Linked DNA regions of Nothobranchius furzeri. The protein of the gene in region 2 interacts with the protein of the main gene of each other region in a biochemical or structural test. Links are inferred from orthologs where the notes say so. Each region holds a gene or a part of one and is shown on either strand. Other genes may lie near its edges.

What was found.
Region 1: the proteins of usp8 (region 2) and stam2 form a complex in vitro, tested with the Homo sapiens proteins (3 studies listed by BioGRID, with this or other methods). The link is inferred for Nothobranchius furzeri from reciprocal best matches to the Homo sapiens genes USP8 and STAM2.

The regions. Positions count from the first base shown.
Region 1 is NC_091754.1:32,010,757-32,016,325, reverse strand, and holds the start of stam2 (signal transducing adapter molecule 2), read right to left. Parts: upstream 3,590-5,569; 5' UTR 3,447-3,589; coding exon 3,407-3,446; intron 1,731-3,406; coding exon 1,646-1,730; intron 1,519-1,645; coding exon 1,443-1,518; intron 1-1,442. Other genes in the region: hacd2 (very-long-chain (3R)-3-hydroxyacyl-CoA dehydratase 2), read left to right, coding at 4,590-4,714.
Region 2 is NC_091749.1:41,744,471-41,748,933, reverse strand, and holds the end of usp8 (ubiquitin carboxyl-terminal hydrolase 8), read right to left. Parts: intron 2,042-4,463; coding exon 1,909-2,041; intron 1,809-1,908; coding exon 1,650-1,808; 3' UTR 1,536-1,649; downstream 1-1,535. Other genes in the region: uncharacterized protein, read left to right, coding at 84-272. UniProt on the Homo sapiens protein: Hydrolase that can remove conjugated ubiquitin from proteins and therefore plays an important regulatory role at the level of protein turnover by preventing degradation. Converts both 'Lys-48' an 'Lys-63'-linked ubiquitin chains.

The sequences.
Region 1 (5,569 bases), on a different chromosome or scaffold from region 2:
ACCTGTAAATGCTAGTTGGATGGAATCTGTATTCTTCATATTTTGTTTCAAAGGGCAACTAGGCAGTTGTGGCTTGCTTTAGCACCCCCTAGAGTCCATTTGTAGAACCGAAACCAAAACCCATCTCGCGGTGCTTTGTCTTTTTAACACCTTGATCCATCAGCTGAAATGTCTCCCAGCCTTCTTTAGTGTCTACAGGAGTGATTCATCACTAGTTAAAACAAATCAGCTGTGTTCATGATCTAACATACAGGAAACGGGCTGTAACCAGACTGCAGCACCAGGTATGTCAGCTCCGTATCCCAACAGAGGAAGTGGAATATTCTGGCCACAGAGGGCGATAGGATCTGGGTGGCCTTTCATAAACCCTGCAAAGGGTCGTTTAAGCACATGCTGGCGCAAGAAAATGATTTAAAAGCATGACAAACTTGCAAAGTATCCCTTTGTCATCAGTTTATCTCCATTGTGGTTGCTAGGCGATAGGCTGAGGCGAGGGCAGGAATAAAAATGAAGGCTAGCTCACTGGATTTGGACTCACTCTCTTTGATCTAATGGGGCTCTCCACCAGATGCAAAACCTAACAGATGAGTTTTCACCACAACGTCAGCAGAGCGTCTCCTCCTACCAGGACTGTTTCAGACACGCGGTGGCTGCGAACGCGTTCCACGCAGCTAATCTCAAAAGATAATGAAAATCACAGGAGAACTGCAAGATCACATGTGATTTCACCAGATCACATGATAACAAGCTAGGACAAACAGCTACAACGTAGGGCTGGGCGATAGGGCTTAAAATCAATATCACGATATATTGAGGATTTCACCTCGATAATGATAAATGGACGATAACTACAGGTATGTGCAGAAACAAATGTTGTCCACTAGATGGCGCTGTCACATGTATTACATTAAATCACATTTTTACGTGACTTAAGGTGGTACAGCTTCTTAAAAGGCCATGAACGTTGCCAACCTACACACATCTTTTCATTTGTTTATTATCTAATTTACTGAAATGAGAAAAATGATCGATAAAAGTGACAAATTTCGATAAAGATACATTTTCAATTTATTGCACAGCCCTACTGCCACGTTTGACTTCCTGTCTGGACTGATCGGAGCTGCTGAGCATGTTCTGAAACCATAGCATGTAAGACAGATCCAGCAGCACGTAAATTTACCGGAGGCCTCGATGCTACACTACAACGTGTCTGAGGCGTACCGCTGCACGCCTGGGGGAAACACACCCACAGACTAGAACGGTGACCGTTAGCTGTGGACTTCGCTTGGAAGACATTACCCGTCGCTTATGCATCTGATGGAAACCTGGGGTGATAGACAAGCCAACTGCTAGTCTGAGCAGAAAATTTCACACAAATTATTTACTCACCTTAGTTTTCTATTTTCTTAACTTTAAAGCCTAAAAGGCAGAATGAAACTCACGTTGAGAGCCTGCATGGCGACATGAGGCACTTTGTGGTTGACTCGCTTCATTATGGATTTCAGGCCGTCCTTCGGGCTGAACCAGAGGAGATAAACCAGATTAACTCCAGGAAATGGGATTGTTAGCAAACCATATATGTGTGGCATTAGACTCCATTCACTAAATCACTCCAGGAATTATTCAGTGTCTTTGCCCAGCTCACCCATTGGCTGTCGTTCCAATCTTATCGCAGATGTCCATGATGAGCCCCCAGTCATCTGTTGTGTTGTTTTCATTTGTTGCTTTCTCTGGAAATGGTGCATATGGTCAAGTGAGAAAACATGCTCGCTGCCATCATGGCTGCTGGGTTTTGATGCCAGCCACAGCAGGCGAGTGCCACCGGGCTCTTTGGTCACACAATGAAGCACAACCACCTCCCAACAACCTCCCTCAGATGAACATTTGGCACAACAGTCATGACTCCTGAGTCCACAGAGCACCATTGTTTGGTCTAAGCATGCTGCTGCTGGGGTGGGAAAGGCCGGCAAACGAGGAAGTGATGAAGAGAATTTACATTCAGAACAATAAAGATGCATCTAGACTTGGCAGCAGTAATATCACAACTGCTTTGAATAATGTTAGCCACTTTGTGTTGATTTTTAATTCACCTGCACTGAACTGAATAATAATAGTTTCATATTTCACTTTTTACCACATTGTTGTCTGTTGTTTTAAGTCCGTTCATCTGCTGTGGCTTAATGACACAAACTGTTGAGCCACAATTCTGGAACTTTAATATTGTATTCTAAATTTCCTACATTATCATTAACATTTTAATTAAGTCTTAATATTTTATATTGATGATAAAAAAACTCATGTTGGTTTTAAATATTGGTATTATCTCCGTTTAATATTCATTTGAATAGCTCTAAAGCACCAAACTTTATGAAAAGAGCGTAATAAAATATTTCAAATTGATAATGGTTTAACTGGATTCAACCATCCCAGCAGAGCGCAGTTAAAACACAGGCTTAATAAGAAAATGTTTAAGTTGAGCTGAGAACTAATATTACTGTTATTAGTGAGACAAGTATCCCTGAACCACAAAAGCAAACACATGTGGAGAAAAATAAGAATAAACGTGATTCTGAGAATTGAGCCGAATTGCTCCTGAGGTAACAGGGAGTGGAAACAACACATCAGCGATATTTGTTTAATTTCCAGAGATCTACACCTCACTACAACCCCTGCTGGGTTTTTAATACACACTGTTGGGCAATTTGATAAATAAAACCAAAAATATCTAAAATAAAACATGATAAAGCCTTCACAGACCTGCATTTTTTCTGTTTGTTTGGTAAAAATGTACTCCCAATATTATTATTTTTAATGATAATAACAATACAATTTTGAAACAAAAGCATTTTGAGCCAGAAAGTAATCTTTAACATGCTTATGTCCCACTTACCATTTCAGATCATAAAGCACAACATTATATTATTAGAAACGTTTGTAAGAGAAAAATCCATAAACTAGTTTGTGTTGACAAACAACTTGAAATTAAATTAAATTTAATTTAAAATTTGAAATGTAAATTATGACAAATAAATCATCCACCTGTGTCTCAGTTATGAATCTTAATTTATTTAATTGGATTTACGAGTATTTTAAAGTGTACTCGGTTAAAACTAACACATTTAAAGGGCCCTTGCTATTTTTTTAGGAAAAGAGCTAGCTGTTATCATGAGTCAGACTTAAGTTGGTTACAAAACAACGCCCGAAATGACCCTCAGACTAGATAAAAGTTGTTGACAAGAAGTCAACAAAACGTTAAAAAGTGGACAAAACCTGTCAGGGTTGAACGTATTAAAACTGCCAAAGCTGAAATATCGTAACTTTAGAGCTCACTAAGCTACGTTAGCATTAGCTTCTCGTCAGCTGCTCTGAGTCCATGAAAAGACCAACAATAAAACAAGTCACTCACCAACATCTTGATCGAAGGGATTTTGGGAAAATAAAGGCATTTTAGCGACTCAAAAGAAACTAGGCTCCGACAAAGAAGAGTACGCGTGTTATCGAGACTAAACTTAAACAAGCGTTTATTCCTTGTTGTCCATTAAACTTGCACTAGTTGCTCTTCCGGTGTTGTGCCAAAAACGGCACCCCTGTCGTCATAGCTATTTCCCAAATGCCTGTTCGGTTGGGAGGAGAGCCGAGAAACACTAGTAGTAGTACATTGATTTAGTCTGGCTTGCCAGGCTAGAGAAACACTTCAGTAGTTTTGCTAGGAAATATATGAAATATATAAAGTATTTATATAATATAGAATAGAATAAAATAGACTTTATTGGTCCCACAGTGGGGAAATTCACTTCGTACAGCAGCTCCAACACTTATATAAAACTTACATTACTATATATATATATATATATATATATATATATATATATATATATATATATATATATATATATACATACATACATACATACATACATACATACATACATACATACATACATAAAACCTTCGTCCACTAAAAACTACGAATAAAAAAGGAAAAGCTTGTGTTCCAACACTACTATGCAGCAAATGTAAGCTATAAAAAGATACTTTTTAAAATAATTTTTGGATTGAGCCTTAAATCTGATTAAATCGTGGTTTTGTTACAAAGTTGTTTTATTCTTTATAAAAATACATTAAAATGAACCCGTTTTTTTTTCTTTATTTCTGATGTTTTATCAGGAGGCAGTGTAGTGTTGTGCCGTCTTATTTACATATTATAAATGTGTTCAACGTTATCTTTTAAAATACGTATTTATCTTGTCTCAGGAAGTTAAATGTCGTTTTGTTTTCTTTAAAACCAAGTCAATGCAAATGCAAAGTGAAATTGCCAGAAAATTGATGGAGATGGATTTGGAGATTTCTGTATAATAAAAATCATCACAGGAGGACGACAAACGCACAGCAGAAACGTGATTCAAGAGTTACAAGATAGTTCAGCCCCCAAACCCCTGCTTCATCGATGCCTGCTCTTATTTCAAACCGGAAGTTTAAGAAGTTTAGAACCATCTTGTTTTGTGACGACACTTCCTGGTGTAACTCCCGATTGTTTCCTGACTCAGCCTGACGTCCACCGTCGTTTAGGACCGTTAAGGGTTGGAGTCATGTCGGCAGCTGTTCCGGGGACCAGCAAGGCGGCCCACGGTGATGCGGGCTCGAAGAAGAAGAAGGGACCCAGTGCCCTGGCCACGGCCTACCTGGTTATTTACAATGTTGTGATGACAGCTGGGTATGTAATGTGTTTCCTCGTGCTAACGCTGCTGGTGAGCTGGACCGTGTGTGCATTTGCGCTGCATGCAGGTCAGGACCCGAAAATCCTAATAATAATAAAAAAATAAATAAACAATTTGATGCGATAATACATAAGTATTAAAATGCTTAAATATAATTGGAGACATTGTGGTGTTATAATTTCATCCTCGACTTCTTACGGCTTACACAGATTAACATGAGCAACAGACAGCCAGCTGGCATGGACGCCATGGTGTTTACAATCCAGAAACAACAGGAAATACAGCTGGTTATGTTGAGATTCAATTTTATTTTATTTCTTACTAATTGTGCTACTTTTTTCACCATCAGTCCAGTAAAGTTAAAGACGTGTGTGTGATCTGGCTTCTCACATGAAATTCGAACACAATTTTAACGTGTGGCATCCAGATGATGACATTTCCTTTAAATGGGCCTAAAAACCTTAATCTCAATGGGTCTTCTTTCTTTTTTAGGTGATATTTAACCAGAGCTGTTTTAAAATGATTGGCTGTGCCTGATAAGGCCATAAGACTTGGCCAATCAAAGTCTTTGCTTATGAGGACTGAACCAACCTCCTTCAGTTCAGTTCATGTATGTAGTTCAAGATCTACAGTAGAGATTCTTACATTTCTCTTTAGTATAATTGTTTCCATCAACTAATATTTATTGGAAAATTTATAGTGATCATTGGTTTCTTCGAGATATAAATATTACTGCAAATCTATGTTAAAAGCATTTAGTTATAAAGTGATTTTTATAATTGAAACAATCAAAGGTCTTGAACTCTGAGCTAATAAATCTTTGTGTGGTTTTTATCAGTTTGATTTTTAAA
Region 2 (4,463 bases):
ATCAAGCTGTTTGGAGAAATTTAGAACTACTCTTACCTTATTGGAGTGTAAATTATGTCTTTTGGGATTTTACTCTTTTCAAGAACCACATGGGTCATCTGAACATGGGTCACTACACCGCTGTGTGCTACAATGGCCCAACCCAATCGTGGCACTGCTTTGACGACGCAGTTTTAAGAGAAGTAGAGGACACCCACATCCAATCTCCAGATGTCTACATGTTGCTCTACAGCCACAAGCCTTTCCAGAAACCAAAGATCCAAGGACTCTGAGCTCAGCTCAAAGGAAAAAACCCATCGCTCATTTAACGTGTTCTTCATTTTTTGCAGATTTAATCCAAACTTGTTAAAAAGGTTTTTTTGTACCTGCCAGAAATGTAATCAGAAGCCTGTGAACTTGAGCCAACATGAAATTTACAAAAATGCACATTCACAAAATGAATTTGTAGTAGTTTTAATAAATAGTCATGAGTTGTTTGAGGTTAATATATTCGTTATATTTGAAACAATTTTTGTAGAGCATTAGGAAATAAAACAAATGTACAAATAAAAAAGAAAAAGGATTATAATGTCATGCTAGGCAAGAGAAGTTGACCCAGGAAATGATCAGATCCTGCACCTTCGCATCTCTGGTCCGTTTAGAAGTCGTGTCTGTGAGTTAGCCTGGCAGGCATCGAGCGTCGACACAGAATCGCTCAGCAGAACAAAATGTCTTCATTTTTTCCAGCTCATTACACAAAAAATCCATCAGGTTGGAGGAAAATCAAAATAAGTGAATCTCAAACTTAACTTTTCCCAGTTTTTTTAATAGTGTTTGAGTTTGATATTTGAAAAAGTAACATCCACCTAACTGAGAATAAAGTTTAAAGGAGCAGGTAGACAACCAGCCCATGTCTGGTATCTGTTTAAAGCATTCTGAGAAGAAGATAAAGGTCTGCTGCTTAACAACCCGCTGTACAACCTAAAACTGACTGCATACTCTGTAAGAAGGATGTTAATAGGAACTAGCAAAAGTCTGAAATCTGTTAGAAAAAAAATCACTCACAGTTTCTCCCATTACTCTTATATCAGTCGTTACAGTTAAACCCTCAAAACAAATGTGATTCAGTTAAATTTATATAGTGATATCATGGCGGTTGCTACGGTTAAAAAAAAAGAGAGAGATTTGGTCACCAAACAGAATTCGCTGTTGTGTATTTACACCAAACGTTTGAATGTGCCACTTCAGCATTAAAAACGTGCATGTTCATGTGTAACAGCAGTACAAGGAAGCTGAAGATCAGTTCTGCTGTCTACGCTGCCTACTAGAGAAATGAGAGTGAAGATGATCTGAATCAGCCCTAAAGCACAGCTCTAGTAAGAAGGTCAGACTAACATGAGCATCTGTTTAGTCTCTGGTTGGTCAGTAATGTGCACAGACAGCATGTTTGAACAGCTAAAGGCTCCTCTAGTAGCTGAAGCAGTACACAGCGTGCCTCCGACGTTCTCCTGTCAGGATCTCAAAGCCACTGTCCTCTCTTGCACATATGTGACCACTTCACCCTCAACTATGTGCACCAGGCTCCTCAGAGCTATTTGAAAAGAAAATGGCCTCCAAGTTAGAGCATGACTACTCTAATGTAGTTTCCCCCTTGATGTCCTGCAGCAGCGTCACAGGGTGGAGTAAAACAGGATGTAGGCTGCAGAGGACTTGACCGAAGAGGAGGAGATTTCAAACACTTCGTGGTCATCAAACTTGTACCAGCGCTGTTTGTGGATGTTCTTACAGTATGCTGTGTAATGGCCACCATCTAAGCCTCCATAGTGATTCTGGTGGTGGGGGAAAACAGATGGTTTGCATTAAAGTTTCTAAATAAATGCACTGCATAGTTTTAGCTGACGTTTTGAGCATTGTGTTGTTCCTACTTACAGAAACTCCATAAAGGTTGTATCTCTTCAGGTTCTGCTTGGGTCCAATAACATACTGCATCAGGTCCAGACCATCTAGTGGGAAGTCAACAGAAGTCTGTAGCTTTTGTTTCCATCTACCTTCATAAGAGAACCTGAAGAAATAAACAAATAAAGAAAATACAAAGTTTACATTTTCAGTCTCAGAAATTTGAACTTTATTATGTTATTACTAGGGTTGGCATCGAGCATCGATTGGAACCGGGACCAAATGTTAGTTTTTCCCGGAATCGTTCAAAGTTTTTTTATTTCAATTCCTAGTTTCGATTCCTAGAATGTTGACCGGAAGAGGAATCCGCTTTTCAGAGCGGATCACACCAGCTGTCTGTGTGCAGCACTGAGTCGTCCCCCCCCTCCCCCCACCCGACGCGCAGCGGCCAAATATAAACAAACGCGTCTGCCGAACTTTTACTCCGTAATGTTACTTCTGCTGGACCTCACGGCTGCCTTTGACACGATAGATCATGAAGTGCTGCTTCACCATCTACATCATTATGTCGGGATTTCAGGGTTAGCCCTGAAATGGTTTAGATCATACCTGACAAATAGAAATGTGTGTAAAGATGGGAAGTTATTCCTCAGAGTACTCTGATCTAGCCTGTGGGGTATCACAGGGCTCGATATTGGGACCTCTGTTGTTTTCTGTTTACATTCTGCCATTAGGTGACATCTGTCGTGAGCTTGGAGTTCAATTCCACCTATATGCTGACAATTGTCAGCTGTACCTGCCTCTGAACACGTCAAGTGGTCTCTCTATTTCTATTCTTACTAACTGTTTGAGGGAGATCAAGACCTGAATGAGTGAAATTTTTCTGAGCCAAAATGATCACAAAACAGAGGCTATATTGTTTGCTCCAAGCAGACATTGTGATTATTCCCTAACTGACTGTGGGTCATTTAATGGCCATCTGACTGCATCGGTGACTAATCTTGGTGTTAAACTGGATAGCGCCCTTAGTTTTGATACCCACATCAATGGAGTGATCTCCACCTCCTTTTTCCACCTTTGTCAGTTGGCAAAGATCAAACCATTTTTGTCACGTCATGATCTTGAGACGGTAGTCCATGCTTTTATTACGGTGCGATTGGACTACTGCAACTCTGTTTTATTCGGTGTGAGCAAGGGCTCAGTAGCCAGGTTGCAAATGGTCCAGAATGCTGCGGCCAGACTTTTAGAGGGCAGGCGCAAGTATGACCACATAACTCCTGTCCTGGCTGCGCTTCATTGGCTACCCGTTGATGTAGGGATTCGTTTTAAACTACTCTTATTGGTTTTTAAAACATTAAAATGGTTTGGCCCCTCCTTACTTGGTGTCACTGCTTCAACCGTACACCCCTGCATGGTCACTCCGCTCGGAGAACCTCATGCTCCTCTCGGTCCCAAGAACGCGCCTAAAGACACGTGGTGATAGGGCCTTTGCTGTGGCAGGTCCTAAGCTTTGGAACGAGCCTCCTCTCAGCATAAGGGCCTTCACCTTTGTTGCGGTTTTTAAGGCAAGGCTAAAAACCTACTTTTATGATCTGTCTTTTAACCTTTCTAACTAGTTTTTATTATTTTACTTATAGTGATTTGTGCACTCACTGTATTTTATCTGTATCTTGTGATACAATGTTTTTATTTTCTGGACTTAATGTTTTATGTTTTTTACTTGATCAGTGTAGCGCCTTGGTGGCATCTTTTTACCTGTGACCCCTTCTTTCCACCGGAGCCGTCAGCAGCACGTTACTGCAGCAGCACGTCTTGCTCGCGTAAACTGCTGCTTGGCCCTTCCCACGAGACGCGAAGCAGCAGGGGAGCAGCTGTCACCGACAGAGCACGAAGTCACACGAGTGACTTCATCAGTAAACACAACAACAAGCAGGAGAAAACTACAACATGGCTCCAAAAGGTTTGTGTTTTATGTTCTGTCCGTTTTATAATCGCCAATACGGACCTGAAAAACAAAGGAGACCGCTAGCTAGGTGATAACTTCTCACGGGGCCGCACAGTTAGAAACTTTTTTTTAAAGTAAAGCAACCGGAAGGCAGTACGTTTCTTTATTCTGAAAATCTCGGGAGCTTCGCTCCGTTTCCGCATCCAATTTCCTGTCTTTCCTTCCCCAAAAATGTCGAACTTGACCCGTTTCAGAGGCGGCGCGCGTAGAAAATAGAATTGGCGTGTAAGGGCTGCGACATGCTGCTCCTGAGACGCGGCCGACTCACGCTGCCGACGGCTCCAGTGGAAAAGGTTCTGTTGACCACAACGGTTCCTATCAGCAGCTATGACGTGCTGCTGCAGTAACGTGCTGCTGACGGCTCTGGTGGAAAGAAAGGGTGAGGCGCAATTTACAAATAAAGTTGAGTTGAGAATGTAAACTTTAACTCCTGCAGCGTAGAGGAAACTTGTTAAAATACGTCAACACGGTGGATTTAATAGAAGCTTTAAAGAACAAACTCTGGACGGTGTGAGGTGAGTTTGTCTCACTGCAGAAATAAAAACACAAACGGAGCGTCAGCAGTCAGACGCAGCTGCTCACC